Anolis sagrei: one gene and its partners. The protein of the gene in region 1 purifies or fractionates together with the protein of each later gene. This does not show direct contact. Links are inferred from orthologs where the notes say so. Each region holds a gene or a part of one and is shown in the gene's direction. Other genes may lie near its edges. The genes, in order: PPP4C, PPP2R5D, CCDC6 and DHX38.

The links.
Region 2: the proteins of PPP4C (region 1) and PPP2R5D purify together in Homo sapiens (affinity purification with mass spectrometry; 7 studies listed by BioGRID and IntAct, with this or other methods). This does not show direct contact. The link is inferred for Anolis sagrei from reciprocal best matches to the Homo sapiens genes PPP4C and PPP2R5D.
Region 3: the proteins of PPP4C (region 1) and CCDC6 purify together in Homo sapiens (affinity purification with mass spectrometry; 7 studies listed by BioGRID and IntAct, counting the BioPlex papers as one, with this or other methods). This does not show direct contact. The link is inferred for Anolis sagrei from reciprocal best matches to the Homo sapiens genes PPP4C and CCDC6.
Region 4: the proteins of PPP4C (region 1) and DHX38 purify together in Homo sapiens (affinity purification with mass spectrometry; 5 studies listed by BioGRID and IntAct, with this or other methods). This does not show direct contact. The link is inferred for Anolis sagrei from reciprocal best matches to the Homo sapiens genes PPP4C and DHX38.

The regions. Positions count from the first base shown.
Region 1 is NC_090026.1:17,473,001-17,480,355, forward strand, and holds the start of PPP4C (serine/threonine-protein phosphatase 4 catalytic subunit), read left to right. Parts: upstream 1-4,351; 5' UTR 4,352-4,559; intron 4,560-6,857; 5' UTR 6,858-6,865; coding exon 6,866-6,963; intron 6,964-7,095; coding exon 7,096-7,147; intron 7,148-7,355. UniProt on the Homo sapiens protein: Protein phosphatase that is involved in many processes such as microtubule organization at centrosomes, maturation of spliceosomal snRNPs, apoptosis, DNA repair, tumor necrosis factor (TNF)-alpha signaling, activation of c-Jun N-terminal kinase MAPK8, regulation of histone acetylation, DNA damage checkpoint signaling, NF-kappa-B activation and cell migration.
Region 2 is NC_090021.1:24,508,771-24,516,342, forward strand, and holds the start of PPP2R5D (serine/threonine-protein phosphatase 2A 56 kDa regulatory subunit delta isoform), read left to right. Parts: upstream 1-4,553; 5' UTR 4,554-4,580; coding exon 4,581-4,661; intron 4,662-4,833; coding exon 4,834-4,950; intron 4,951-7,572. UniProt on the Homo sapiens protein: The B regulatory subunit might modulate substrate selectivity and catalytic activity, and might also direct the localization of the catalytic enzyme to a particular subcellular compartment.
Region 3 is NC_090023.1:164,695,885-164,702,726, reverse strand, and holds the start of CCDC6 (coiled-coil domain-containing protein 6), read left to right. Parts: upstream 1-3,837; 5' UTR 3,838-4,064; coding exon 4,065-4,382; intron 4,383-6,842.
Region 4 is NC_090028.1:29,488,356-29,495,346, reverse strand, and holds the start of DHX38 (pre-mRNA-splicing factor ATP-dependent RNA helicase PRP16), read left to right. Parts: upstream 1-3,978; 5' UTR 3,979-4,054; coding exon 4,055-4,425; intron 4,426-6,991. Other genes in the region: DHODH (dihydroorotate dehydrogenase (quinone), mitochondrial), read left to right, coding at 1,245-1,299. UniProt on the Homo sapiens protein: Probable ATP-binding RNA helicase. Involved in pre-mRNA splicing as component of the spliceosome.

The DNA.
Region 1 (7,355 bases):
TGGGAGACCACTGATGAATCCCAGGTACTATAGGCTCTATTTCAGAGGAAGGAACTGGCCAAACCATCTCTGAGTACAGGCAGTCCCCAAGTTACAAACATCTGACTTACAAATGACTCCTAGTTAAGAATAGGGGAAACCACAGGAAATTAGTGAAATCTACACCTTGGAAGAGAAATTCACTTTTTTTCATGCCAGGAGCAACTTGAGAAGCTGCAAGTTGCTTCTGGTCGTCTGCAAGGATGTTTCCCCAGGGGATGCCCAGATGTTTGATGTTTTACCATCACGTGGGAGTTTTTTCTTGTTTCCCCGCATGAGAAGCTAGAGCTGAGACGGGTGCTCACTCCACTCCCTGGATTTGAACCGCTAACCTGTTGGTCAGCAGTCCTGCCAGCACAAGGATTTAACCCATTGCACCACCGGGGGGGGGGGGGGGGGAGTGTCTCCACCAAGGTTTCATCCCCAATTACTGTTTCCAGATGAAACCAAATTTTTCAAGACTGGAGTTATACCTAAAAATGGACTGAGAGAGACATCGTTAATTGATGATAATGTGTATTTAATTCTCTGTCAAAGTGATAATGCCTTACAACCCTATTTGGGGGTGTGTGACAGACCTTTTATGGGCCATGCATTCTGTCGCTATTGCTAGGCCCTCAATAAACAGCTTCCACGGTTGGTATTCAATTTGTGGTATGTCTTCCATTACATCATCCTCTTGAGCCCAGGGGACTCCTGACAATGTGCAGAGAGCAGGAGGAATTCCAGAGAGCCATTCCCCCTACAGTACCTGTTTCGAATTCTGGACCAGAGGCACTCCAAGTGGCCAGATACTGGTCAAAGGACACTTAATCAACTACCAAGCTTGCAAATTTTGTTTTGTGCCTGTTTGTTTGTTTGTTTTGTTCTGTTAGAAATGTAATACAATTATGATTGCCCCTGACACAATAAATAAATAAATAAACCTGTTTCGACTTACATACCAATTCAACTTAAGAACTGGAGCCCCTGGTGGCGCAATGAGTTAAACCCTTGTGCTGCCAGCACTGAAGACTGACAGATCGGAGGTCCGAATCTGAGGAGAGTGAGGATGAGTTCCCTCTGTCAGCTTCAGCTCCCTATGCAGGGACATGAGAGAAGCCTCTCACAAGGATGGTAAAACATCAAAACATCCGGGCGTCCCCTGAGCAACGTTCTTGCAGACGGCCAATTCTCTCACACCTGAAACAACTTGCAGTTTCTCAAGTCGCTCCTGACACACACAAAAAAACCCCAAAACTTAAGAACTAACCTATACAACCTATCTTGTTTGTAACTTAGGGGCTGCCTGTATTCCTTGAGTAAGAATGCATCTACACTGTGGCATTCACTCAGCTTGTTAACACTTTAACTGCCAAGGCTCAATGCTATGGAATCCTATTTTAAGAAGAAAAAGAAGAAGACAAAGAAGAAGAAGGAGAAGAAGAACTTTATTTTTCTAACCCGCCTCCATCTCCCTGAAGGGACTCGGGGCGGCTTACATGGGGTCCAAGCCCAAAGCAGAATACAATTAAAAACAAAGCAAAAAACAATTACGAGAGCATAAACAGTGTAAAACAACATAATAATAGCTAGCAACAACAATAACAGCAGACTAATTTTGGAGAGGGGGAGGAAAACCACTACGTGAACTAGTTAAAGCATAAGTGGTTTAGTAAGGTGGATAACGACATAGGAAACATCATGGAAACAGAGTAAATTAACAGGATCAGTTAATATACTATAGGACATCAAATTGAATGACAATTCAAGTCATGATACAGGTCATTTATCATAGGTGTCGTCAATCGAAAGCACGACAAAACATACACATCTTTCATTCCTTACAGAATGTGGCTAGGGAGGGTGCCAGCCTAATCTCCCTGGGGAGGGAGTTCCAGAGATGGGGGGCCAGAGGCCACCACCGAGAATGCCATCGTCCAGTCGTTCCATATTTGCCTGTTTCGCTGCATTCGCGAAAGCTTGCCCAAAGAGCCAAGTTTTGACTTTTTCCCCTGAAATCTCAGGAAGAACATAAGCAGATACTATATTTTTGCCTTAGGGCCCTTCTACACAGCCCTATATCCCAGCATATCAAGGCAGAAAATCCACAATATCTGCTTTGAACCGGGTTATCTGAGTCCACACTGCCATATATTCCAGTTCAAAACAGATGTGGGATTTTCTGCCTTGATCTTCTGGGATATAGGGCTGTGTGGAAGGGTCCTTCGAGATGGTACGATTTGGTCTCCACTTTCCTGCCCTGTAACCTGGCAACTTTAATGTATGTAGCCCAGGCGTGGGCCAGCTTAAGTGGCTGAGGGGAAAAAGGAAAGGGCCTGAGGCTTTTAGGAATGGTGGGAGTTGGAGTCCAAAACACCTGAAGGGCCCAAGTTGGCCCATGCCTATTGTAGGCCTGTGTGAGGAGATTTTGCTTTTCATAATTGCAATTGTTGTGGCCCATAAGAAAAGGAAGGGGCCTGAGGCTTTTAGGAATGGTGGGAGTTGGAGTCCAAAACACCTCGAGGGTCCAAGTTGGCCCATGCCTATTGTAGGCCTGTGTGAGGATTTTTTGCTTTTCATAATTGCAATTGTTGTGGCCCATAAGAAAAGGAAGGGGCCTGAGGCTTTTAGGAATGGTGGGAGTTGGAGTCCAAAACACCCCGAGGACCCAAGTTGGCCCATGCCTACTTATTTATTTATTTATCATGTCATCAGCAACCATACCATTGTATTACATTTCTAACAGAAAAAAACAAACAAACAGATTTAAAAAGCACACATTTTGCAAACTTGGTAGTTGATTAAATGTCCTTTGACCAGTATCTGGCCACTTGGAGTGCCTCTGGTGTTGCTGCAAGAAAGTCCTCCATTGTGCATGTGGAAGGGCTCAGGCTGCACTGAAGCAGGTGGTCTGTGGTTTGCTCTTCTCCGCACTTGAATGTCGTGGATTCAGCTTTGTAGCCCCATTTCTTAAGATTGGCTCTGCATCTCGTGGTTCCAGAGCGCAGTCTGTTCAATGCCTTCCAAGTCGCCCAGTCTTCTGTGTGCCCAGGAGGGAGTCTCTCATCTGGTATCACCCATGGATTGAGGTGCTGGGTTTGAGCCTGCCACTTTTGGACTCTCGCTTGCTGAGGTAGACCTACTGTAGACCTGTGTGAGGAGTTTTTGCTTTTCATAATTGCAATTGTTGTGGCCCATAAGAAAAGGAAGGGGCCTGAGGCTTTTAGGAATGGTGGGAGCTGGAGTCCAAAACACCTCGAGGGTCCAAGTTAGCCCATGCCTATTGTAGGCCTGTGTGAGGAGTTTTTGCTTTTCATAATTGCAATTGTTGTGGCCCATAAGAAAAGGAAGGGGCCTGAGGCTGTAGGGAATGGTGGGAGTTGGAGTCCAAAACACCTCGAGGGCCCAAGTTGTCCCATGCCTATTGTAGGCCTGTGTGAGGAGTATTTGCTTTTCATAATTGCAATTGTTGTGGCCCATAAGAAAAGGAAGGGGCCTGAGGCTTTTAGGAATGGTGGGAGTTGGAGTCCAAAACACCTCGAGGGTCCAAGTTGGCCCATGCCTATATTAGGCCTGTGTGAGGATTTTTTGCTTTTCATAATTGCAATTGTTGTGGCCCATAAGAAAAGGAAGGGGCCTGAGGCTGTAGGGAATGGTGGGAGTTGGAGTCCAAAACACCTCGAGGGCCCAAGTTGTCCCATGCCTATTGTAGGCCTGTGTGAGGAGTATTTGCTTTTCATAATTGCAATTGTTGTGGCCCATAAGAAATGGAAGGGGCCTGAGGCTTTTAGGAATGGTGGGAGTTGGAGTCCAAAACACCTCGAGGGTCCAAGTTGGCCCATGCCTATATTAGGCCTGTGTGAGGAGTTTTTGCTTTTCATAATTGCAATTGTTGTGGACCATAAGAAAAGGAAGGGGCCTGAGGCTTTTAGGAATGGTGGGAGTTGGAGTCCAAAACACCTCGAGGGCCCAAGTTTGACCATACCCGCTATAAAAGGAAAAGGCCTGAGGCTGTTAGGAATTGTGGGAGTTGTAGTCCAAAAGACCTGGAGGAGTGGTGTCAATGACACCTAAAAAAATCCCTCTGGCATTCATATGGGCGCCTATAATCCTGTACATGAAACATCATGGAGGGAAGAGCTGGAATGACAAGGAAGCGTCGAGAAAGAGAGAGAAAAAAAGCTAAACCGGAAGTAGGCCCGGGAGACATTTTGAGCGACACATGGAGAGGCCGCCCTTGCGTCACTTCCGGAGCCTCCTCCGCTCCTTTTAAATCCCCACCCCTGCCTTGAATTAAGAAGAGAACTGAGAAAATGATGTCACTTCCGGGGGAATCAGGGGAAAGTCAGTCGGCCTCCATCCACAGCTGGGCCTCAGTCGAAGGAGGAAGCGGAAGTGACGCCCTGTGTTCTGTAGTTAGTGAGAGCCGGAAAGACAGAGGCAGAGAGAGAGAGAAAGGGAGAGGAGAGGGGGAAGGGCCGGGCCCGGAGCCGGAGGGAGCCGCGGAGCAGCCATCACCGCCTCTGCCGGGACCCCAAGTGAGTGGCGAGGCTCCTTCTGCGCATGCGCCTCGCTTCCCCCTTGGTGTTGAGGGGCGGGGGAGGCGGGTTGCCATAGAGACCGGGGTTCGAAGGAGGAGGGGTCAGGGGCCTTGGGAGGAGGAGGGGAAAGGCCTCCCCTCGGGTACTGTCTCGAAGACCTGGAAGAAGCCCCCCATCTGCCATGCAGGGGCACATCATCAAAGCACCCCCGACAGATGGCCAGCCCGCCTCAGGTTAAAAACCTCCAGAAAAGGACACTCCACCATCTTCCCAGGCAGCATAGAATGCTTAGTTTGTTTTCTTTAGGGCCAACTTGGGCCCTCCAGGTGTTTTGGACTCCAACTCCCGCCATTCCTAACAGCCTCAGGCCCCTTCCTGGGGGAAAAGGAAGGGGCCTGAGGCTGTTAGGAATGGTGGGAGTTGGAGTCCAAAACACCTGGAGGGCCCAAGTTGGCCCATGCTTGGGTTAGACTATTGAGGAGGAGAATTAGGATTGGGTTGGACTGTCTTTCCTCTGTTTCCTTCTTCATTCTGGTAGAAGTCCATCTGTGTGGTTCTCAACCTGTGGGTCCCCGGATGTTTTGGCCTTCAACTCCCAGAAATCCTAATAGCTGGGAATTCTGGGAGTTGTAGGCCAAAACACCTGGAGACCCACAGGTTGAGAACCACTGTGTTATTGGTTGCCAACTCCCAGAAATCCTAACAGCTGGGAATTCTGGGAGTTGTAGGCCAAAACACCTGGGGACCCACAGGTTGAGAACCACTGTGTTATTGGTTCATGGATTCTTGGATGGAATGGGGAATGTGAGAGCCTTCAGATGCTCATGGATTGCAGCTCACATTACTCTTACCTCATAACAACAATGATATACGTTTTACTTATCTCTCTTACTTACCTCTTTTACTTATCTCGTTACTTATCTCTCTTCAAAGCAGGGCACTGTTAAAATTTATAGATAAAGACATAAGACCATGAATACTATAAAAGGCATACGATTAGTCAGGGGTGAAGGGGAGGTCACAGTCTGATAGAATATGGAAGGCCCAATATTCATATAAAAGGATTGATTGATTTGTCGAAGGCTTTCATGGCTGGAATCACTCAGTTCTTGTGGGTTTTTTCGGGCTATATGGCCATGTCCTAGAGGCATTTCTCCTGACGTTTCGCCTGCATCTATGGCAAGCATCCTCAGAGATGACCTCACCAGGCAAAACGTCAGGAGAAATGCCTCTAGAACATGGCCATATAGCCCGAAAAAACCCACAAGAACTGATTGATTGATTGTTTGCCTGTTTTAATATTTCTTCCATTTCTTTACAGCAGGAATGAGCCAGGTTTGGCCCTCCAGGTGTTTTGGACTTCAACTCCCACAATTCCTCACTGCAAGTAGATATATAAACCCAATTTTCCTAGTTCCAGCAGACCTCACTACCTCCGAGGATGCTTGCCATAGATGCAGGCGAAACGCCAGGAGAGAATGCCTCTAGAACAGTGGTTCTCAACCTGTGGGTCCCCAGATGTTTTGGCCTTCACCTCCCAGAAATCCTAACAGCTGGTAAACTGGCTGGGATTTCTGGGAGTTGGAGGCTGAAACACCTGGGGACCCAAAGGTTGAGAACCACTCCTCTAGAACATGGCCATATAGCCTGAAAAAATCTACAACAACCCAGCAAGTAGACTGTTAGGAATTGTGGGAGTTGAAGTCCAAAACATCTGGAGGGCCCAAGTTGGCCCATGCCTGCTTTACAACAATTAGATAATACTGGAAACAGGACCTATGCCTGGGGTTCTTATCATTTAGGGTTTATCCTCCAGGGGATTATTTGGAGATGTCTTTAGTTTTATCTTATGCGCATCATAGATGTACAGTTGAGTCTCGCTTATCCAACCTTTGCTAATCCAATGTTCTGTATTATCCAACACAATCGGCCTCCCACCCGGATCCACAGATGTTTCAATACATTGTGATGTTTTGGTGCTAAATTCATAAATACAGGAATTACTACAAAACTTTACTGTGTATTGAACTGCTTTTTCTGTTGATTTGTTGTAAAGCATGATGTTTTGGTGCTTCATTTGTAAATAATAGGCTTTTCCTTAATCCCTCCTTATTATCCAACATTTTTGCGTATCCAACGTTCTGTCAGCCCGTTTATGTTGGATAAGCAAGACTCTACTGTATGTCCTCGTTTTATTCATTGTCAAGGCCTTTAGTATACTGATATGGAAACTTTTTATAAAATGTGGCCGAGGAATGTTTTTAAAAAGGAATTGCATCCATTCTTCTCCTACAGGGGGAAAGATGGCCGAAATCAGTGACCTTGACCGTCAGATTGAACAACTACGGCGCTGTGAACTCATTAAAGAGAGTGAAGTCAAAGCCCTCTGTGCCAAAGCCAGGTGAGTAGTTGGCGACATTTTTAAAAAACTCTTATTTATTATTTATGGCCTCTCTGGCCTCCAGGACATCTCTGTTCTGGAGCTGGGAAATGTATAATTAGTTAAGTATAATGTATCTTTTCTCCCCAACAGAGAGATTTTGGTGGAAGAAAGCAATGTCCAGAGAGTAGATTCCCCAGTAACAGTAAGTAAAAATGCTCATGGGATGTTCAGTGGTACTTTGGGGCTGGGCTGCTGGTGGAGGCTCCTTCTTTGGAGGCTTTTAAACAGAAGCTGGATGACCATCTGCCGGGGGTGTTTTGAATGTAATTTTCCTGCTTCTTGGCAGGGGGTTGGACTGGATGTCTCATGAGGTCTCTTCCAACTCAATGATTCTATGATAGTATAATCAT
Region 2 (7,572 bases), on another chromosome or scaffold:
ATAGCTTTTTATCGGTTTTTGAACTTTAGTTTTGGTTTGGTTATTTGGGGTGCTGATTCAGAAAATTGCATTGGATAGACTACATCAGCTCTATTTTCTGATCAGAACATATGCGATGCAGTAGTCGCCATCTGCTTGCCCATAGAAAACCATATTTAATAATCCATAGCCAATGTGGTAGTAATAATCTTTTGTGTATAGTCAGCCTCTCCCCTCCCAACATCCCCGTTGACTCGGCACTATAAGAGGGTTTTGCGAGAGCAGTCGCTCTCATTGCTGCGTGGTTTTGAGGCAATGGTGAGGCCACGGACAATACTTTAGGTCTTTTGGACCACTGGTGATCCACGAACCACAGGTTGGGAACCACTGCTCTAGTGGGAGGGGCAGGATTGCATCCCTCCCTGCTGTGTAGACTCATATAATACTGTTAAGAAAATTGCATTGGATAGACCACATCAGCTCTAGCTTCCCGACATCCCTATTGCCTCAGCTCTATAAGATGGTTTAGTGAGACCAATCGTTCTCATTGCCGTGTGGTTTTGAGGCAACGCTGTAGTAATGGTGAGGCCACGGACCATATTTTCATTCTTGCAGACCACTGGTGGTCCACAGATCACAATTTGGGAACCACTGCAGTAGTGGGAAGGGCAAGATTGCATCCCTCCCTGCTGTGTAGTCTCATGCAATCCAATATTTATTTATTTATTTATTTATTTATTTATTTATGGCATTTATATGCTACCCTTCTCACCCCGAAGGGAACTCAGAGCAGCTTACAAGCAAAAATTAAATACAATATATTATTATTATCATACCACAATATTAATATTATATATTACATTGTACTACTGTAATATTAATAGTATTACATTTAATATAAAATATAATTATAATATCATTTTATTAGTAGTAGTATATTGTATTACATTATAATATCTACATTATGTACAATATTTTATATTATATTGAATTATATTATACTATAAGCACAGTGCAGGAGACAAGATGGAACTACCTTTCTGGTCCCTTTCTTCATTCTGATCTCAGAGCAATATGAGTCTTCACTAACATGTAATGAAGTTTCAATCTGCATTATATGGCAGTGTAGGTGGGGTCTCCATTGGCAAATATGGCAGTGTAGATGGGGTCTGAGTTTGCAACCTTTATTTATTTATCTACCACATTTATATCCTGCTCTTCTCAATCTCGAAGTGGACTCATGGCGGCCTTACAAAGGCAACAATCCAATGCCATATATTAATATATTGGTAAATAAACAAAAACATTAAAACCAAACCCATTAAATCATAGCATTAAAACATAAATTAAAATCACATGACCCAACTTTGAAGTAAACTGAGGAGAAAGGGGGACAGAGTAGGAAAAGGTGAAGAAAGGCAGTATGTTTGTAAAGGAGCTGAAAAAGTGGGAAATCAAAATAGTTGGAGGGGTAACAACATATAGAGAGTCTCACAGATGAAATTCAGAGCTACTATATGCAGGATGTACACAGAGTGTAGGTACTGAAGTTGTGAATAAGCACAAAAGATATCCTAAGAATAATGCACATGTCCACATGTGCTGTTATTTAAGACCCGTGGCTGGGGCAAAAGGAGGATCTAAACCAGTGGTTCTCAACCTGTGGGTCCCCAGATGGTTCGACCTTCAACTCCCAGAAATCCTAAAAGCTGGTAAACTGATTGGTATTTCTGAGAGTTGGAGGCCAAAATACCTGGGGACCCACAGGTTGAGAACTACTGATCTAAATAAATGCAATGATAATATTTGTGTAATAGAATATAATGCAAAAAGTGATTGTGGGCCTTCAAGTTCTCTCCAACGTATGGCAATCCTAATGGGAGCTTGTCAAACTGTTTTCTTTGTCTTCTGAGACTGAGAGATTGTGACTTGCCCAAGGTCACCCAGTGGGTTTCCATCGTCGAACAACAAGTTATGCTCCAATGCTCGGGCCTCTACCTCACACTAGCTCTCATACTTAGTACTGCACATTGAAATATATACATATACATATATATACACACACACAGAGAAAGGAATTTGTTTGGGCTTAATTTGCATGCTGAATGCTAATGCCATGAATGTAACATTTCTAGTAGTGGTGGAATACATGCTTCCAAATGAAGAATGTGGTATATTTGATTTTGTCAGATGAGGCTGGAAATAAGCCTGCTGAAAACCCTGGAGAGTCTAGACTGACTGGCAGCTTCTTCCAGGTTTTAGTAGACACTGCTAAACTAGATGGATCAAGGTCTGAGTTGTTGTAAGGGATCTCCCTATGTTTTACTTTTGTATATGGGGAGATGTGTTATGAAACATAGGAGCATGTATGAACAGGGTTGCACTTGATTGCCTGTGCGAATCCATGGCACCACATGCATTATCATTATGAATAAACAACTATAGGTGAATATTAGAGTGTAATAGTCCCATATTTCCAGGATATAACATTACACGGGCCCTACGATTTCCTGCAAAGTATGGATAACATTGCTTACTGTGTTGCTGTGAGTTTTCTGGGCTGTTTGACCATGTTCCAGAAGTATTCTCTCCTGACATTTTGCCCACATCTGTGGCAGGCATCCTCAGAAGTTGTCAGGTGTATTTACTAAAGTGGTGTTAGAGTTCATTTCGCCTTGACTTACAAACTGACCTAAGGATAAGTCCCATCAAATCCTTAATTTTTTTCTGATTCATGGTCACCCAAGTGTGTCATGGGATTCAAACTAGTTAGCTTGCTAGCAGATCATAAGTAACTTACCACGAGGAAGTGATCTTTGAAGTAGATTTCAGGGTTTAGTTTCCTTTTCATTCATTCTTCGCCAACTTCCATTCAGATATGTTAGATGTGGGATAAATAAGAGTTATGATAATACCCAGAAGAGGTCCCTGAAGGTGCATCTACACTGTAGAATTAAAGCAGTTTGACACACTTTAACTGCCATGGCTCAATGCTGTAGGATAATGGGAGGTTTAGCTTTACGAATCCCATGATTGCTGTAGCATTGAACCATGGCAAACTGCAATAATTCTACAATATAGATGCATCCCAGTTGGGAAAGGTAGAGTAAAGAATTCTGCTACTTTTTATAGGCTAGATAGGAACCTCCCTCACCTTGAAATTCCTACCCTTTTGTGGCTAAACCTGCCTGACTTAACTTCAGCCTTCCAGGACTTTGCTTTGTCCTCTCATGGACTGTCTCTTCTACTCACAGGTAGAGTAATAGAGTTGGAAGAGACCACATAGGCCAGGGGTTCTCAACCTGTGGATCCCCAGGTGTTTAGTCCTACAACTCCCAGAAATCCCAGCCAATATACCAGCTGTTTGGATTTCTGGGAGTTGGAGGCCAAACATCTGGGGACCCACGGGTTGAGAACCACTGACAGAGGCCATCTAGTCCAATCTCCTACCATGCAGGAAATCACAGAGTATCCCTGACAGATGACTATCCAGCCTCTGTTTAAAAGTTTCCAAGGAAGGAGCTTCCACTACACTCCAAGGCAGAGAGTTCTACTATTGAACAGCTTGTGCAGTCAATATGTTCTTCCTAATGTTCAGGTGGAATATCTTTTCCTATAATTTGAACCCATTGCTCAGAGTCCTAGTCTCAAGGGCAACAGAAAACAATTGTGCTCTCTCTTCCTTATGACTCCCTTTCACATATTTATACATGGTTATCATGTCTCCTCTCAACCTTCTCTTCTGCATGCTAAACATACCCAGTTCAAGATGCTCCAGATCTTTGATCATTTTAGTTGCCCTCTTCTGGACACCTTCCAGTTTGTTGATATCTCTTTAAAACTGTGTTGCCCAGAACTGGACACACTCTTCTAGGTGAGGTCTAACTAAAGCTGAATAGAGGGGCACCATGATTTCTCTTAATCTAGACCAGTGGTTCTCAACCTGGGGTCCCCGGATGTTTTTGGCCTTCAACTCCCAGAAATCCTAACAGCTGGTAAACTGGGATTTCTGGGAGTTGTAAGCCAAAATACCTGGGGACTCACAGGTTGAGAAGCCACTATTCTAGGTGAGATCTAACCAAAGCTGAATAGAGGGGCACCATGACTTTCCTTGATCTAGACCAGTGGTTCTCAACTTGTGGGTCCCCAGATGTTTTGGCCTTCAACTCCCAGAAATCCTAACAGCTGGTAAACTGGGATTTCTGGGAGTTGTAAGCCAAAACATCTGGGACCCGCAGGTTGAGAAGCACTGATCACTATATTCCTATCTGAGCAGCTAAAAAATCCCATTGGCTTTTTAGCTGCTCACTACAGGTGATACGTCGCAGCTTCCTTAGTTTATTCCCTGACCTTTCTCTGGATCTACATTGCCTAAATAATAGCTTCCTTCCTTCCCAGCATGTCCTTGGTTTGACACATAAGTCCTTTTCCTTCCAAGGAGCAGTTAGCAGAGGCTGGAGAGCTCTTCAAAGGGTTGTATTCCTTTGCAGTTAAAGGGGTGGTTTCCCCCATTCAGTGGGAGGGAAGGGGTGGGCTTAAGAAGTCAGATGCCTTTTCAGAAGGGAAAGAGAATGGATCAGGCCAGGGGCGCTGCTTAGAGGATGCTCAGTGTGTTTCTGTACAGAGACCTTTCTCTTGTCCTGGGAAGAACATCCCTCTCGGGCAGCCACTTGTGGAGCATGGTATGCTATCGAAGTTGTTCCTGGGGGAAATGTCGTTTTTTGTGGTCACTGGAATTCCAGTTTCACAATATTTGTCTCATTTGGACGTGAACCGTAATAAGTCCTTAATGGAGCAACTCATCTGTAAATGCTCTTTCTCTTCTTTGTGTTTCTCTTTCGTTTCATCCTCCAGGACCCTCCAAAATCGACCAAAAGCACTACAAAAGCTAGTAGCAGCAGCAGCAGCAGCAGCAGTGGTAGTGGCAGCAGTGGGACCGGGAAAGATGGCAGCACAGAAAATTCAGAAGAGGTAGGATACTTATTCTGCAAAGGATTATATGTTGTGCATTATATACCGGTTAACATTGAGTTAAATTAAAACTGATTAGCAGGAAGTGTCTGTTTTTGAACATAATTTTTTTCAGGGTGGGGTTGGGAGCAGCAACTGTTGCGTATTGAGTAGACGTGTATGTAGGATTGCACCGTGAAAGTGCTTAGTTAGCTTGCCTGGAAGCAAATGTGTATTGTTGATGCATTTGTTTCTTCTTAAAACAACAAGTGTGTGCACGTCTGTGAGTATACAGATCCAACCAGTAGTCTAAAAGATGAGAGGATTTGTGGCATGTCTTAATGCATTTATAATTGTTTTAATGTATGCTAAATGTATATTATGCTTTGTTTTTATTGTTTGGCACTGAATGGTGCCTGTTGGTAGCCGTCCTGAGTCCCTCTTTGGAAGTGAGAAGGACGGGATAGAGATGCTCCTAATAATAAATAAACAAATAAATAAATTTCAGGATTTTTAGAGTTAGCAACTGAACTCAATAACAAATTTATAATGAGGGGTGGGTAACTGGAGGGTAGAGAGTTGTATTGGGACCTCCTAGAATATATTTCAGAAGTCTCTAATGAAGTAGTGGATATGCAGAAATACTCCATGCTTATAAGATCTTCCAGGCACTTGATTCCCTGCCACTGCTATAGTTTAGGTTGAGTATTTCTTACCTGAAGTGCTTAGGACCAGAAGTATTTTAGATTTTGGAATCCCTGTATTTATGGAGGACAATAGATCATGACCTGTCAGGATTGCTGTCCATTGGCGTATATAGATCATAAACTGTTAAGATCACAACCTAATTATGGTAGCAATTCAGAGTTTATTGTCGGAGGCTTTCATGGCCAGAATCACTGGGTTGTTGTAGGTTTTATCGGGCTATATGGCCATGTTCTAGAGGCATTCTCTCCTGACATTTCGCCTGCATCTATGGCAAGCATCCTCAGAGGTAGTGAGGTTGTTGAAACTAGGAAAATGGGTTTATATATCTGTGGAATGACCAGGGTGGGACAAAGAACTCTTGTCTGTTGGAGCTAGGTATGAATGTTTCAACTGACCACCTTGATTAGCATTTGATGCTAATCAAATTAAAACAATTAAAATTACAACAGCAAAACAACAGAGAGGAAACAATCAAGGGCATCTAATCACTTCTCAACAAAAGATTGCCCCAGGCACTGCCAGGCCATCAAATGCTAATCAAGGTGGTCAGGTGAAACATTCACACCTAGCTCCAGCAGACAAGAATTTTCCCAACTGGGAAACCCATTTTGTGGTGCCAGAACACAGTCTGTTCAGCGCCTTCCAAGTTGGCCAGTTTTTTGTGTGCCCAGGGGGGAGTCCCTCATTTGGTATCAGCCATTGATTGAGGTTCTGGGTTTGAGCCTGCCACTTTTGGACTCTCACTTGTTGGGGTGTTCCAGCAAGTGTCTCTGTAGATCTTAGAAAAATATTTCTTTATTTAAGTCGTTGATGTGCTGGCTGATACCTAAACAAGGAATGAGCTGGAGATAATAATAATAATAATAATAATAATAATAATAATAATAATAATAAACAACTTTATATATAACTTATAGCAGAAGTATGCTAGAGGACCTAGAAAATGGTCAGAAAGGTCAAATTTAGGCATTGCTCAGTTCTCTAGCATAACTTTGGTCAACTTCCAGTGCACCACCTCGAGAATCTTGGAAAGGACATATTTTGTTAGAGATTGGTAAATGAAACCACAGGTTGCAGTCCTGGATATATGGGAATCATACTGAATTATTATGAATTGTTTGCATCTCATGGGAGATATAATTAAGTAGAGTGAGAGCAAAAACCTGTGGAAAGTTAAAGGAACATAAAAGAGCAGTCTGGTCCAATAGTTTGTTTATATGCTAGTTACTAAAGGACCAAGTGGCATGCAGTTTTAGTGGCAAATAAATTCAAGGAATGGGGCATGGTTTAAAAGAGACATACTGAGATAATTGATTGTGACACAGAGGAGTAGCATTTTGCAGACTTTCTTTCATAGTCTGCGCATGAATAGCAAGGTGTTAGATTCCACCCCCGTTGCTGCTGAAACTCAAGTAATTGTTAATATCTCTTATCTATATCTGCAGAGCACAAAAGATCAGAATATTTGTTCTTTTCTTCAGCTTGTAGTGAAAGGAATACTACAGCATTCTGTATCAATGCTAAATATAATACTACATCTTTACTACAGGTAGGGTATGCAACAGGTGTATTACAATTGAGTATGAGACCATGTGCACTGCAGAATTATAGTAGTTTGACACTTCCACTGCCAAGGCTCCATCGTATGGAATCCTGGGATTTGTAGTTTGTTGTGTCACCAAAATTATCTGACCGAGAAGGATAAATATCTCACAAAACTACACATTCCAGAATTCCATTTCATGAAGCCATAGCAGTTAATGTGATTTCAAGCTGCTATAATTCTGCAGTGTGGATGCAGCTGATATATAAATGGTCACGATAGTCTCTTTGATTTCTTTCTCCTGAACCTTTTAGAGGGGTTTGTAGCTTATACAGTTCTCCTGCTGCTGCTCAGTGGCTGCTTTCATTTGTCTCTGGAGAGTCGCTCTAGTC
Region 3 (6,842 bases), on another chromosome or scaffold:
ACAAAAGTCCTTTGTCTCACCCTGGTCTTTCCACAGATATATAAACCCATTTTCCTACTTCCAACAGACCTCACTACCTCTGAGGATGCTTGCCATAGATGCAAGCAAAACGTCAGGAGAAAATGCCTCTAAAACATGGCCATATAGCCCGGAAAAACCTACAACCCAAATAAATTGTTCTCCCACTTTCAGTGTTACAATATCTATTTTCTTTTTCATTTCTTTAAACAAAACCCTAATAAAATATTTTTTTAAGAACTTCCTGATCCTGAGTTGTTCCACAGTGGAACTCCCTGCCTCAGGGTGTGGTGGTAGCGCCTTCCTTGGAGGTTTGTAAACAGAGGCTGGGTGGTTATCTGTCGGGGGTGCTTTGATTGTGCATGTGGTCTCTCCCAACTGCATGATTTGATGACCCTAATATATTTTCAACAATTATTATTATTATTAAACTTTATTTGTACCCCGCTAGCATTTCCCGAAGGACTCAATGCGGCTTACAAAGGCCAAGGCCTCAACACAACAACAGCAAACAATAATACAATACAAAGCAAAAATTAAAACATAAGCAATGACAAAAACATTACACTATTACACGTGCAATAACAGTGTAAAAAGAGCTATATCCTCTCATTCCAATCCTCATCCGTTTCATCGTCTTGGCCGTTCCTGGGTCATTCTCCATCTCAAGCTTGACTATTCCGGGGTTCCGAATGCCTGCTCGAAGAGCCAGGTTTTCACTCTCTTACGAAAGGTCAGGAGGGAGGGGGCTGATCTAATATCCCTAGGCAGGGAGTTCCACAGCTGAGGGGCCACCACAGAGAAGGCCCTGTCTCTCGTCCCCGCCAAGCGTGCTTGCAAAGCAGACGGGATCGAGAGCAGATGATCTTAACTTCCTGGAGGGTTCGTAGGAAGAGATGTGTCCGGATAGGTAGGCTGGGCCAGAACCGTTTATTGTGTGGTTTCAAGTCGTTTCAGACTTAGGTTGACCCTGAGCGAGGGCCTGGTAAATGACCTAAATGAGGGCCTTAGTTTGGGGATCCCTGACCTAGAGCTTTGGAAAGCTACCATCTCAAAGCTCCCTGCTTGAGTGGTGATGGCACGATCATCAGCATAGATGAAACTCTCTGTCCCTTCTGGCAGTGGCTGGTCATTTGGGTAGATCAGGCAGCCTCAAACTGCGGACCTCCAGCTGTTTGGGCCTCCAACTCCCAGAATTCCTGACCACTGAACAAGCTGGAGGGCTGCAGTTTGAGGATGCCTGGTGTAGATGTTCCGCCATCTGTTTCCGCCATCTGCAAGAATACTCAATGATGGTGGTGGTGGCAGGGCCGTAGCCAGAAAAATTTTTTGGGGTGGGTTGACAATTTCGGGGGGGGGGGGGGTTGAAAATTTTGGGGAGGGTTGAAAATGGGGGGGGGGGGGGGTTGAAACCTGCCTCCTAGCTCACGCTGAAGCAAAGAGCACAGCAGAGGGCAGTTGTTGTTGTTGTTCATTCGTTCAGTCGTCTCCGACTCTTCGTGACCTCATGGACCAGCCTACGCCAGAGCTCCCTGTCGGCCGTTACCACCCCCAGCTCCCTCAAGGTCAGTCCAGTCACTTCAAGGATGCCATCCATCCATCTTGCCCTTGGTCGGCCCCTCTTCCTTTTGCCTTCCACTTTCCCCAGCATAATTGTCTTCTCTAGGCTTTCCTGTCTCCTCATGATGTGGCCAAAGTACTTCAACTTTGTCTCCAGTATCTTTCCCCCCAGTGAGCAGTCGGGCTTTATTTCCTGGAGGATGGACTGGTTGGATCTTCTCGCAGTCCAAGGCACTCTCAGAACTTTCCTCCAACACCACAGCTCAAAAGCATCGATCTTCCTTCGCTCAGCCTTCCCTAAGGTCCAGCTCTCACATCCGTAGGTTACTACAGGGAATACCATGGCTTTGACTAGGCGGAACTTTGTTGCCAGTCTGATGTCTCTACTCTTCACTATTTTATCAAGACTGGACATTGCTCTCCTCCCAAGAAGTAAGCGTCTTCTGATTTCCTGGCTACAGTCTGCATCTGCAGTAATCTTTGCACCTAGAAATACAAAGTCTGTCACGGCCTCCACGGTTTCTCCCTCTATTTTCCAGTTGTCAATCATTCTTGTTGCCATAATCTTGGTTTTTTTGACATTTAGCTGCAACCCGGCTTTTGCGCTTTCTTCTTTCACCTTGATTAGAAGACTCCTCAGCTCCTCCTCGCTTTCGGCCATCAGAGTGGTGTCATCTGCATATCTGAGATTGTTAATGTTTCTTCCAGCAATTTTCACCCCAGCTTTGCATTCATCCAGCCCCGCACATCGCATGATGTGCTCTGCATACAAGTTAAAAAGGTTGGGTGAGAGGATGCAGCCTTGCCGTACGCCTTTCCCAATCTTGAACCAGTCTGTTGTTCCGTGGTCAGTTCTGACTGTTGCTACTTGGTCCTTGTACAGATTCCTCAGGAGAGAGACAAGGTGGCTTGGTATGCCCATCCCACCAAGAACTTGCCACAATTTATTATGATCCACACAGTCAAAGGCTTTAGAATAGTCAATGAAGCAGAAGTAGATGTTTTTCTGAAACTCCCTGCCTTTCTCCATTATCCAGCGGATATTGGCAATCTGGTCTCTCGTTCCTCTGCCTTTTCTAAACCCAGCTTGAACATCTGGCAACTCTCGCTCCATGTAAACCAACCAAGAAGGCAAAATGGTTGTCTGCTGAGACACTGGTAGTAGCCCAAGAAAGGAGGAAAGCAAAAGGAAACAGTGAAAAGGGGAGATATGCCCAGTTAAATGCGCAATTCCAGAGGTTAGCCAGAAGAGATAAGGAACTATTTTTAAATAAGCAATGCATGGAAGTGGAAGAAGACAACAGAATAGGAAGGACAAGAGACCTCTTCCAGAAAATTAGAAACATTGGAGGTAAATTTCAGGCAAAAATTGATATGATAAGAAACAAAGATGGCAGGGACCTAACAGAAGCTGAAGAGATCAAGAGAAGGTGGCGAGACTATACAGAAGATCTGTATAGGAAGGATAACAATATCGAGGATAGCTTTGACGGTGTGGTGAATGAATTAGAACCAGACATCCTGAGGAGTGAGGTTGAATGGGCCTTAAGAAGCATTGCTAACAACAAGGCAGCAGGAGATGATGGGATCCCAGCTGAACTGTTTAAAATCTTAAAAGATGATGCTGTCAAGGTGATGCATGCCATTTGCCAGCAAATATGGAAAACACAAGAATGGCCATCAGACTGGAAAAAATCAACTTATATCCCCATACCAAAAAAGGGAAATGCGAAAGACTGCTCAAACTTCCGTACAGTGGCCCTTATTTCTCATGCCAGTAAGGTAATGCTCAAGATCCTACAAGGAAGACTCCAGCAGAGGGCAGAGCAACCTTCAATAGCCTGCTCCACCCCTGTCAACCACCTCCACCAAGTCTGGCCTCCTTAATGAGAGCATTCAACACACACACACACCCCAACTTGGTTGCTTCACTACATCGGCTATTGCTGCAAGTAATGACAGTGTGAATAAATTGTCAATATTTGCTTGAGATAGTGCTTACAGTTCTGGAGGGACTCTTAATTTTTTGCATTTCATAGACTTAGCATGGGGATTTGGTTAACCAGTTAAAATTCATGAGTAAAGCAGGTTTTTTTAAAAAAAAATTGAAACATTTCGGGGGGGGGGGTTGAACCCCTAAAACCATCCCCTCGCTACAGGCCTGGGTGGTGGTGATGTCTGAGGTCTCCTTTTGGCGGAGCTGGTGCTGCAGTGCCACCATTGGCGGGTGGCGGCGCTGTGGGTAGGGCGCGAGGCGGGCGCGAGGCGGCGCCGGCCTTGGCTTCTCGGCGCCGAGCGCGCGCGGCTTCCCAAGGCGCCGGGAGCATGCGCAGTGGTGGTTCTCCTCCTCCTTCTCCTCAGCGGCGAGCTCCTCCTCCGGCCCTGGCTGCAGCCCGCGGAGCGGCGAGGCGAGGCGAGGGAAAGAGGCAGGCGGAGGCGAGGCCGAGCCCAAGGCGCTCTCGGAGCGGCCCCGCGCTCCCTCCAGGATGGCCGACAGCGCCAGCGAGAGCGACACGGACGGCGGGGGCGGCGTGGGGGCTCCGGGCGGGGCGGCGCCGCCGGGCTGCCCGTCCTCCTCGCCGTCCTCCTCCTCCTCTTCCTCGGCGGCGACCTCGTCCTCGGCGGGCCCCCCCAAGGCGGGCGGCATCGTGATCTCTCCCTTCCGCCTGGAGGAGCTGACCAACCGGCTGGCCTCCTTGCAGCAGGAGAACAAGGTGCTCAAGATCGAGCTGGAGACCTACAAGCTCAAGTGCAAGGCGCTCCAGGAGGAGAACCGCGACCTCCGCAAGGCCAGCGTCACCATCGTGAGTGCGGGGGGGGGGGCAGGGGAGGGAGGGGCGCGGTTGCCAGGGAAACGGAGCTGGGGAGGGAGGGGCCTCTCCTCAGGTGAAACCTTTTGCTCTTCCTGCCGTGGCTCTGGAATCCTGGGAGCTGTAGTTTTGCAAGGCCTTGACCCAAACACCTCCCCCCAAGATTCATAGAATCATAGAACCGTAGAGTTGGAAGAGACCTCCTGGGCCATCCAGTCCAACCCCCTGCCAAGAAGCAGGAATATTGCATTCAAATCACCCCTGACAGATGGCCATCCAGCCTCTGTTTAAAAGCTTCCAAAGAAGGAGCCTCCACCACTCTCCGGGGCAGAGAGTTCCACTGCTGAACGGCTCTCACCCCACCAAACCCTTCCAGTATTTTCTGTTGGTCATGGGAGAACTGTGTGCCAAGTTTGGTTCAATTCCATCTTTGGTGGGGATCAGAATGTTCTTTGATTGTAGGTGAACTATACATCCCAGCAACTACAACTCCCAAATGACAAAATCAAATTTTTTGAGTGAAGGACATACATTAGGTTGTTAGGTGTCCAAATTTAGTGTCAATTCGTCCAGTGGTTTTTGAGTTCTGTTAATCCCACAAACAAACATTACATTACATCTTAACACCTCTCAACAGGGGATTTTCCCAGGCTCAGCCAGGCCTTCAAATGCTAATGAAGGTGATCAGTTGAAACATTCACACCTAGCTCCAGCAGGGAAGAGCTCCTTGCCCCACCCCAGCCATTCCACAGATATATAAACCCATTGTCCTAATTCCAACAGACCTCACTACCTCTGAGGATGCTTGCCATAGATGCAGGCAAAACGTCAGGAGAAATGCCTCCAGAACATGGCCCTATAGCCCGAAAAAAAAACCCCACAAGAACCTAGAGATTCCAGCCATGAAAGCCTTCGACAATACATTACATTTTTATTTATATAGATTGCTCTTAGGATCAGATCCTGGGATATAGGGCCTGTCTGGAAGTGTTATGGGCAAGCTGTTGTTTATTTCTAGGGCAGCAGAATCAATGCAGTCTGACAAACACACACACACAATGAACTGCCATGAATCTACAAACTACAAGAGAGGAGATTCCATCTGAACACGAGGAAGAACTTCCTGACTGTGAGAGCCGTTCAGCAGTGGAACTCTCTGCCCCGGAGTGTGGTGGAGGCTCCTTCTTTGGAAGCTGAACGGCTCTCACAGTCAGGAAGTTCTCATGTTCAGATGGAATCTCCTCTCTTGTAGTTTGTAGATTCATGGCAGTTCATTGTGTGTGTGTGTTTGTCAGACTGCATTAATTCTGCAGCCCTAGAAAGAAACAACTGCTTGCCCATAACACTTCCAGACAGGCCCTATATCCCAGGATCTGATCCTAAGAGCAATCTATATAAATAAAAAGGTAATGTTTGTTTGTGGGATTAACAGAACTCAAAAACCACTGGAAGAATTGACACCAAATTTCGACACCTAACAACCTAACGTATGTCCTTCACTCAAAAAAAATTGATTTTGTCATTTGGGAGTTGTAGTTGCTGGGATTTATAGTTCACCTGCAATCAAAGAGCATTCTGAACTCGACCAACGATGAAATCAAACCAAACTTGGTACACAGAACTCCATAACCAACAGAAAATATGGGAAGGGTTTGGTGGGCATTGATCTTGAGATTTGGAGTTGTAGTTCACCTACATCCAGAGAGTACTGTGGACTCAAACAAGGATCTGGACCAAAGTTGGCACAGATACTCAATATTCCCTAGTGTGAACACAGGTGCAGTTTGGGAAAAACAGACCTTGACATTTGGGAGTTGTAGTTGCTGGGATTTATAGTTCACCTATAATCAAAGAGCATTCTGAACCCCACCAACAATAGAATTGGGCCCAACTTCCCACACAGAACCCCCATGACCAACAGAAAACAGTGTTTTCTGGCAGTCTTTGGTGACCCCTCTGATGACCCCTAGGTTGAGAAATGCTGCCATAACACTTCCAGACAGGCCCTATATCTCAGGATCTGATCCTAAGAGCAACAGGGGAATTCCAGGCAAGAATCAATCAGGGCCAGCTAATATCTCCCAACAAAGGGTCCCCCAGGCAGGAAGCAGCCAGGCTTTGCAGTGGCAAGGCCATTCAATGCTAATCAAGCTGGCCAATGAAGCCCCCGGTGGGGCAGTGGGTTAAACCCCTGTACTGGCAGCACTGAAGGCCGACAGATTGCAGGTTCAAATCCAGGGAGAACACAGATGAGCTCCCTTTATCAGCTCCAGCTCCTCATGCGGGGACATGAGAGAAGCCTCCCACAAGGATGATAAGACAACAAAACATCCGAGCATTTCCTGGGCAACATCCTTGCAGGCAGCCAATTCTCTCACACCAGAAGCGACTTGCAGTTTCTCAAGTCATTCCTGACATGACAAAAAAAGCTGGCTAATTGCAGCATTCACACTT
Region 4 (6,991 bases), on another chromosome or scaffold:
GCAGAGTAACTTATTAGCAGCAGTGTGGCCCAGCACCAGTAGCCCAAAGTGTTTACGAGAACAAAAACACAAAGACCAATGTTATTCCTTTCACAGAGGCTTTTCTTTATAGCAAACTAATATAGTTTCACTATTTACAAGAACGAAGTTCCAGAATACAAATAAAGTTCGTTACACTTCCTTCTTTACTTCCATGCTGGACTTCTTTCTCATGCAGATAAACAGCTTTGATTTCACACCAAACTTACATAGGAGCGTCACACAATAGCTTTTTATGCACAGTATCTTTCACACACAATGGCCTTCAACTTGGGGCTTCTCCACTGCAGCTTCTCACACCAGGCCTTCTCAAACTGAGGCCTACCTTACACTGAGGCCTTGCTTCCACTGAAGCCTACTCATACTGAGGATTCTCTCAGACTGACGCCTCTCTCACACTGAGGCCTTCTCACACTGAGGCCCTTCTCCCACAGAGACATAGAATCATAGAGTTGGAAGAGACCTCACGGGCCATCCAGGCCAACCCCCTGCCAAGAAGCAGGAAAATTGCATTCAAAGCACCCCCGACAGATGGCCATCCAGTCTCTGTTTAAAAGCTTCCAAAGAAGGAGCCTCCACCACACTCCGGGGCAGAGAATTCCACTACTGAACGGCTTTCACAATCAGGAAGTTCTTCCTAATGTTCAGATGGAATCCCCGACTTTGTAACCCACAGACTGAGTGCTACTAAGCTACAGTTACTTATATTGAACAGCAGCTTTTCCTGAGTCAATGCATCCATTTAACCCTTTCAGTGCTTGACTTACATTTGTGTAATTAAAAATACCTAGTTAATTTTTAATATTTCTGAGAGAACGGAGTCATGGAGAAGGCATGAGGATCACAGAAAGCAGCAACAGGAGTGGGATGTAGGCAGGGAGCTATGGAGAGGTTCAAACCCCCCCCCCCCCCAATTCTATGGCCTTGATCTCTCCAGTGGCCCTGTTGAAGCACAGAGAAGAGAACCATTTCTGTCCCTGCTTTGCCTTGACCCTTTGCTCTCCTGGCTTCCCATCCCTGCTTCCCCCTCTAGCTAGTCCTTTGCTCTCTGCCTTGGCTTTTTTGCTGACGTCCCCTCCTCCTTTTCTGCATGTTCTGTGGATGAATAATCCTCCCACTTCCTCTCAAGAGGAGGGAATGCAGGGCCAGGTCTCTTCTGAGGAGGCCAGCTTTGGCTCAGCCCCTGTTCCTCCTGCTTTCCCCAGGGAGCAGGGATTCCAGAGTGTCCAGGAGGCCGTGGGTGCGGACCACCGCCTCTGAGGAGCCTCGCTGAGACCTTACTGTGGACCCAGGGAGGCCTTTCGTCCCAGATGCCCAGTGGGGGCTTCTGAAGCTTGTGGATTGGCTGCTCCCCATTCTGCGGAAGCACCTGTGCAGTGGAAGAAACAGACATCCTCCCCTTTGGCAGCCTATCCCAAGTGGGAGCCCTGCAATCTGACAGTCAAAGCTCACAGCTCAGAACAAGATTGACTCAGCTAAGCAGACTGGACTTTGCATCGTCGATCAGAGATCATGGGGGGAGCACAAGGGGCAAAGGAATCTATGTCTCTTCAGCATGGAGGCAGTCAGGCTCAGGAGGAGCCATCCATTCAGCCCTGTCAGTGCCTCCTCTCCCTGTTTGACAGCCTCAGTGGGGACAGTGGGGCTGTGCTGCACCCAGGAGCCTTGGGACACGATATTTGGAGGGAAGGCACTATCCTATGTAGAGGCCAGCGCTTCCTTGTCCCCAAAGGCAGACTCTCTCCTTCAGGCCATTCGGTTTGGTGACCGTTTCAATAAAGGGCTTGACTCTTGGTTCAAACATGGTGTGATGGTTGGTTGAAGGACCCCATTGCTAAGCATTGTTTCTGGAGCTCAGAAACAGGGGCAGGAAGATGACACACCTCTGGCTTCCCTTCATTCAGTGCATAAGCCCACATCATTACTGCCATCGTGATTTTATCCCACGCATGTGTCAACTTGGTAGGCTGTTAGGAATCGTGGGAGTTGAAGTCCAAAACACCTGAAGGAGGGCCCATGCCTGATTTATCCCCACACAATAATTATCTATTATTTATTTATTTATATCCCACTTTATCTCTCCATACAGAGGGTACAAGTGCCTCACAACCAAAAACATTACAGCTTAAAACATACAAATATACATTTATTTATTTATGACATTTATATGCCGCCCTTCTCACCCCGAAGGGGACTCCGAGCGGCTTACAATATATATATACATACACACATACATACATACATACAATATATTATATTGCTAGCATAGTTGTGACGATGTGTAACTTTTATTCTTATGGTTATGTGTTGTTTAAACAGTAGTTAATAAATGGTAAGTATGTAGGATTATATTTTGTTAGAGATGGTGGCTGGTAGCTTGAGCTGAGTTGCCATAGCAACGGGGGCGGAGCCAACTATCACTTCACGGCGCAGCTTTTTGAAAGTGGCAGTGTGTGAACACTGGTGGAGTTTGGGGGGAAATAAAATCTTGGCATTTGGGAGTTATAGTTGCTGGGATTTATAGTTCACCTACAATCAGAGCATTTTGAACCCCACCAACGATAGAATTGGGCCAAACCTCCCACACAGAACCCCCATGTGGCCCACAGCAATGCGTGGCAGGGGATGGCTAGTAAATAATACAAAAACAATAATAAAACAGTATATCATTATATATTAGATACTATCAGTAATCATTATATTTAATATATTAATATTACTATGTTACAATATTATAAATGAGTAATCTAGTAATCTAGAATACTAATATTGTGCTATGCTAACAATATATTGTATGTACATATAATATTAATATTACATAAAATATGGGGAGATTGTATGTATTATATGTACATATAATATATTATTAGCATAGCACAATATTAGTATTCTAGATTACTAGATTGTACTATACCCTGATTGATTCTTGTCTGGATTTCCCTTGCTTTCTGAGTGTTGCTCTTTACTCACTGTTATTTACAACCAGGTACGGCTAACACTTCCCAGCAAAGGAGTCCTCTAGGCAGCAACCAGCCAGGCTTTGAAGCTGCAAGGGCCATTAAATGCTAATCAACGTGGCAAGTTGAAACATTCACACCTACCTCCAACAGACAAGAGTTCTTTGCCCCACCCTGGTCTTTCCACAGATATATAAACCCCTTTCCTACTTCCAACAGACCTCACAACCTCTGAGGATGCTTGCCATAGATGCAGGCGAAACGTCAGGAGAGAATGCCTCTAGAACATGGCCATATAGCCCGGAAAAACCTACAACAACCCATTCACACCTAGCTCCAGCAGACAAGAGTCCTTTGTCCCACTTTGGTCTTTCCACAGATATGTAAACCCGTTTTCCTAGTTCCAACAGACCTCACAACGTCTGAGGATGTTTGCCATAGATGCAGGTTTCTATATCTGTGGAAAGACCAAAGTGGGACAAAGGACTCTTGTCCGCTGGAGTTAGGTGTGAATGGGTTGTTGTAGGTTTTTCCAGGCTATATGGCCATGTTCTAGAGGCATTATCTCCTGACATTTCGTCTGCATCTATGGCAAGCATCCTCAGAGGTTGTGAGGTCTGTTGGAACTAGGAAAATGGGTTTCTATATCTGTGGAAAGACCAGAGTGGGACAAGACCAGAGTCAGGAGAGAATGCCTAGAACATGGCCCTATAGCCCGGAAAAACCTACAACAACCCATTCACACCTAGCTCCAGCAGACAAGAGTCCTTTGCCCCACCCTGGTCATTCCACAGATATATCAACCCATTTTCCTAGTTCCAACAGACCTCACAACTCTGAGGATGCTTGCCATAGATGCAGGCGAAACGTCAGGAGAGAATGCCTCTAGAACATGGCCCTATAGCCTGGAAAAACCTCCAACAACCCAGCAGGGACTCTCTCTTCCGGTCTGGCTTGGCAATCACTCCCCGAGGCGGAAGTCCCGCCTTCCGTCGCGGGGCATTGTGGGTCGGGCAATGGCGGCGCCCGGCCAGCGTCGGGCCCGGTCTTGAGGGGAGATGGGCGAAGCGGAGGCGGCGGAGGAGGCGTCGCTGCACCGGCTGGAGGGCCTGTCTCCGGGGGCGCAGGCGGGCGGGCTGGTGCTGCCGGCGGCGAGGCGGAGGAGCGCGGCCGAGGAGCAGCACGTCTTCAAGGTCCCGGCCCCGAGGGCCTCGCTGCTAGGCCTCGACCTCCTGGCCGCCCAGAAGCGCCGCGAGAAGGAGGAGCAGGCCGCCAATAACACCAAGCGGGCCCGGCTCTCCTCCGACGGAGACTGGGCCTCGGAGCCACAGCAGGAGCAGCGCCCAGAGGGAGAGGCGGAAGCGGCGGAGGAGGAGGAGGAGAGGGACGGAGGCGGAGGCGGCGCGGGGAGAGGATCCCGGAGGGAGCGGTGAGCCAGGCTTCGGAGGAACAAGAGAGAGAACTTCCAGAGCAGGCCTGGGCCAACTTGGGCCTTCCCTATGCCATCCAGAGTATTCCTATCAGTGTCTGAGGCGAATGTTGTTAATCTAGGCCAGGTCTGGGCCCACTTGGGCCTTCCCTTAAGGGGTTTTGGACTTCAACTCCCAGCATCCCTAACAGCCTCAGGCCCCTTCCTTTTCCCCCTCAGCCACTCAAGCTTCAGGTGTTTTGGACTTCAACTCCCACCATTCCTAACAGCCTAAGGTTCTTGTCATTTTCCCCCTCAGCCGCTCTAGCTTCAGGTGTTTTGGACTTTAACTCCCACCATTCCTAACAGCCTCAGGCCCTTTCATTTCCTCCCTCAGCCACTTAAGCTTCGAGTGTTTTGGACTTCAACTCCCACCATTCCTAACAGCCTAAGGCTCTTGTCATTTTCCCCCTCAGCCGCTCTAGCTTCTAGCTTTAGGTGTTTTGGACTTCAACTCCCACAATTCCTAACAGCCTGGGTCTCTTTCATTTTCCTTCTCAGGCGTTTAAGCTTCAAATGTTTTGGACTTCAACTCCCACAACTCCTAACAGCCTGGGTCCCTTTCATTTCCCCCCCTCAGGCGTTTAAGCTTTAGACTCAGCCGCTTAAGCTTCAGGTGTTTTGGGATTCAACTCCCACAACTCCTAACAGCCTCAAGCCCCTTCCTTTTCCCCCTCAGCCACTCAAGCTTCAGGTGTTTTGGACATCAACTCCCACAATTCCTAACAGCCTCAGGCTCCTTCCTTTTCCCCTTCAGGCGTTTAAGCTTCAGGTGTTTTGGACTTCAACTCCCACAATTCCTAACAGCCTGGGTCCCTTTCATTTTCCCCTTCAGGCGTTTAAGCTTTAGGTGTTTTGGACTCCCACCATTCCTAACGGCCTCTGGCCCCTTCCTTTTCCCCCTCAGCCACTTAAGCTTCGAGTGTTTTGGACTTCAACTCCCACAATTCCTAACAGCCTGGGTCCCTTTCATTTTCCCCCTCAGGCGTTTAAGCTTTAGGTGTTTTGGACTTCAACTCCCACAATTTCTAACAGCCTCACGCCCTTTCATTTCCTCCCTCAGCCGCTTAAGCTTCAGGTGTTTTGGACTTCAACTCCCACAATTTCTAACAGCCTGGGTCCCTGTCATTTTTCCCCCTCAGGCGTTTGAGCTTTAGGTGTTTTGGACTTCAACTCCCACAACTTCTAACAGCCTCAGGCCCCTTCCTTTTCCCCCTCAGCTGCTTAAGCGGCTGAGGGGGAGAAGGAAAGGGCCAGAGGCTGTTAGAAGTTGTGGGAGTTGAAGTCCAACAAAACACCTGGAGGGAAGGCCCAAACAGCCCAGACCTGGTCTACATCTACATGGTAATCATCTGTCGGGGTGCTCTGATGGTGTTTCCTTTTTTGGGCCATCTAGTCCAACCCCCTGCCATGCAGGAAAAGCACAATCAAAACACTCTCAACAGATGACCATCCAGCTTCTGTTTAATAGCCACTGTAGAAGGAGCTTCCATCAGTCTCTGAGGCAGAGTGTTCCAGTGTTGAACAGCTCCTACAGTCAGGAAGTTCTTCCTGATGTTCAACTGCAAGTTTAAAAAGAAATCTTTAAAACAGCATTTCTCAACCTGGGCGTCAAGCCCCCTGGGAGCGGGGTCGTGAGGGAGGTGTTGTCAGACGTGTCACCAAAGACAATCAGAAAACACAATATTTTCTATTTTTCATGGGGGTTATGTGTGGGAAGTTTGGCCCAATTCTTTCATTGGTGGGGTTCAGAATACTTTTTCATTTGGGTTTGAGAGGGGTCACCAAAGACCATCAGAAAACACATATTTCTGATGGTCTTAGGAATTCCTTTGGCATAGTTGTTTGGGTTCATAGTGCTCTACGGATGTAGGTGAACTACATCTTCTCTAAATCACTATTGAAATTCATCCCAAATCCCTCCAGTATTTTCTGTTGGTTATGGGGGTTTGTGTGGGAAGTTTGGCCCAATTCTATCATTGGTGGGGTTCAAAATGCTATTTGATTGTAGGTAGACTATAAATTCCAGCAACTACAACTCCCAAATGTCAATGTCTATTTCCCCCAAACTCCACTAATGCTCCGAAGCCTGTTTCCTCTGCTCCTACATGGTGGAAGTCCAAATCGCATGCAGGGAGGACCCAACTTGTTCCAGGCCTGTTCTACGATATACCCATAACATCTGTCTCTCATGCTCATCTATCCGTCTCTTGGAATCGTATCTTACCACATCTATGGCAGTATGGCTGTCTGTCAGGGGTGCTTAGATTGTCTTTCTTTGTGACAGAAGGAGTCAGGCTGGATGGCACCTCGGGCCTCTTCCGAATTCTAGGATTCTATCATTCTATTGATTTTCTTCTCTGTAGGCTTTAAAATAGAGCTGGCAGGATGGACATCTGTTGGGTACACTCAGATAATGTTTTCTTGCTTTGAAGTCTCCCAACTCCCAAGATTCAACAACAGGCCTGTGCCAACTTCGGCCCTTCCTCCTGGTGTTTTGGACTTCAACTTCCACAATTCTTTACAG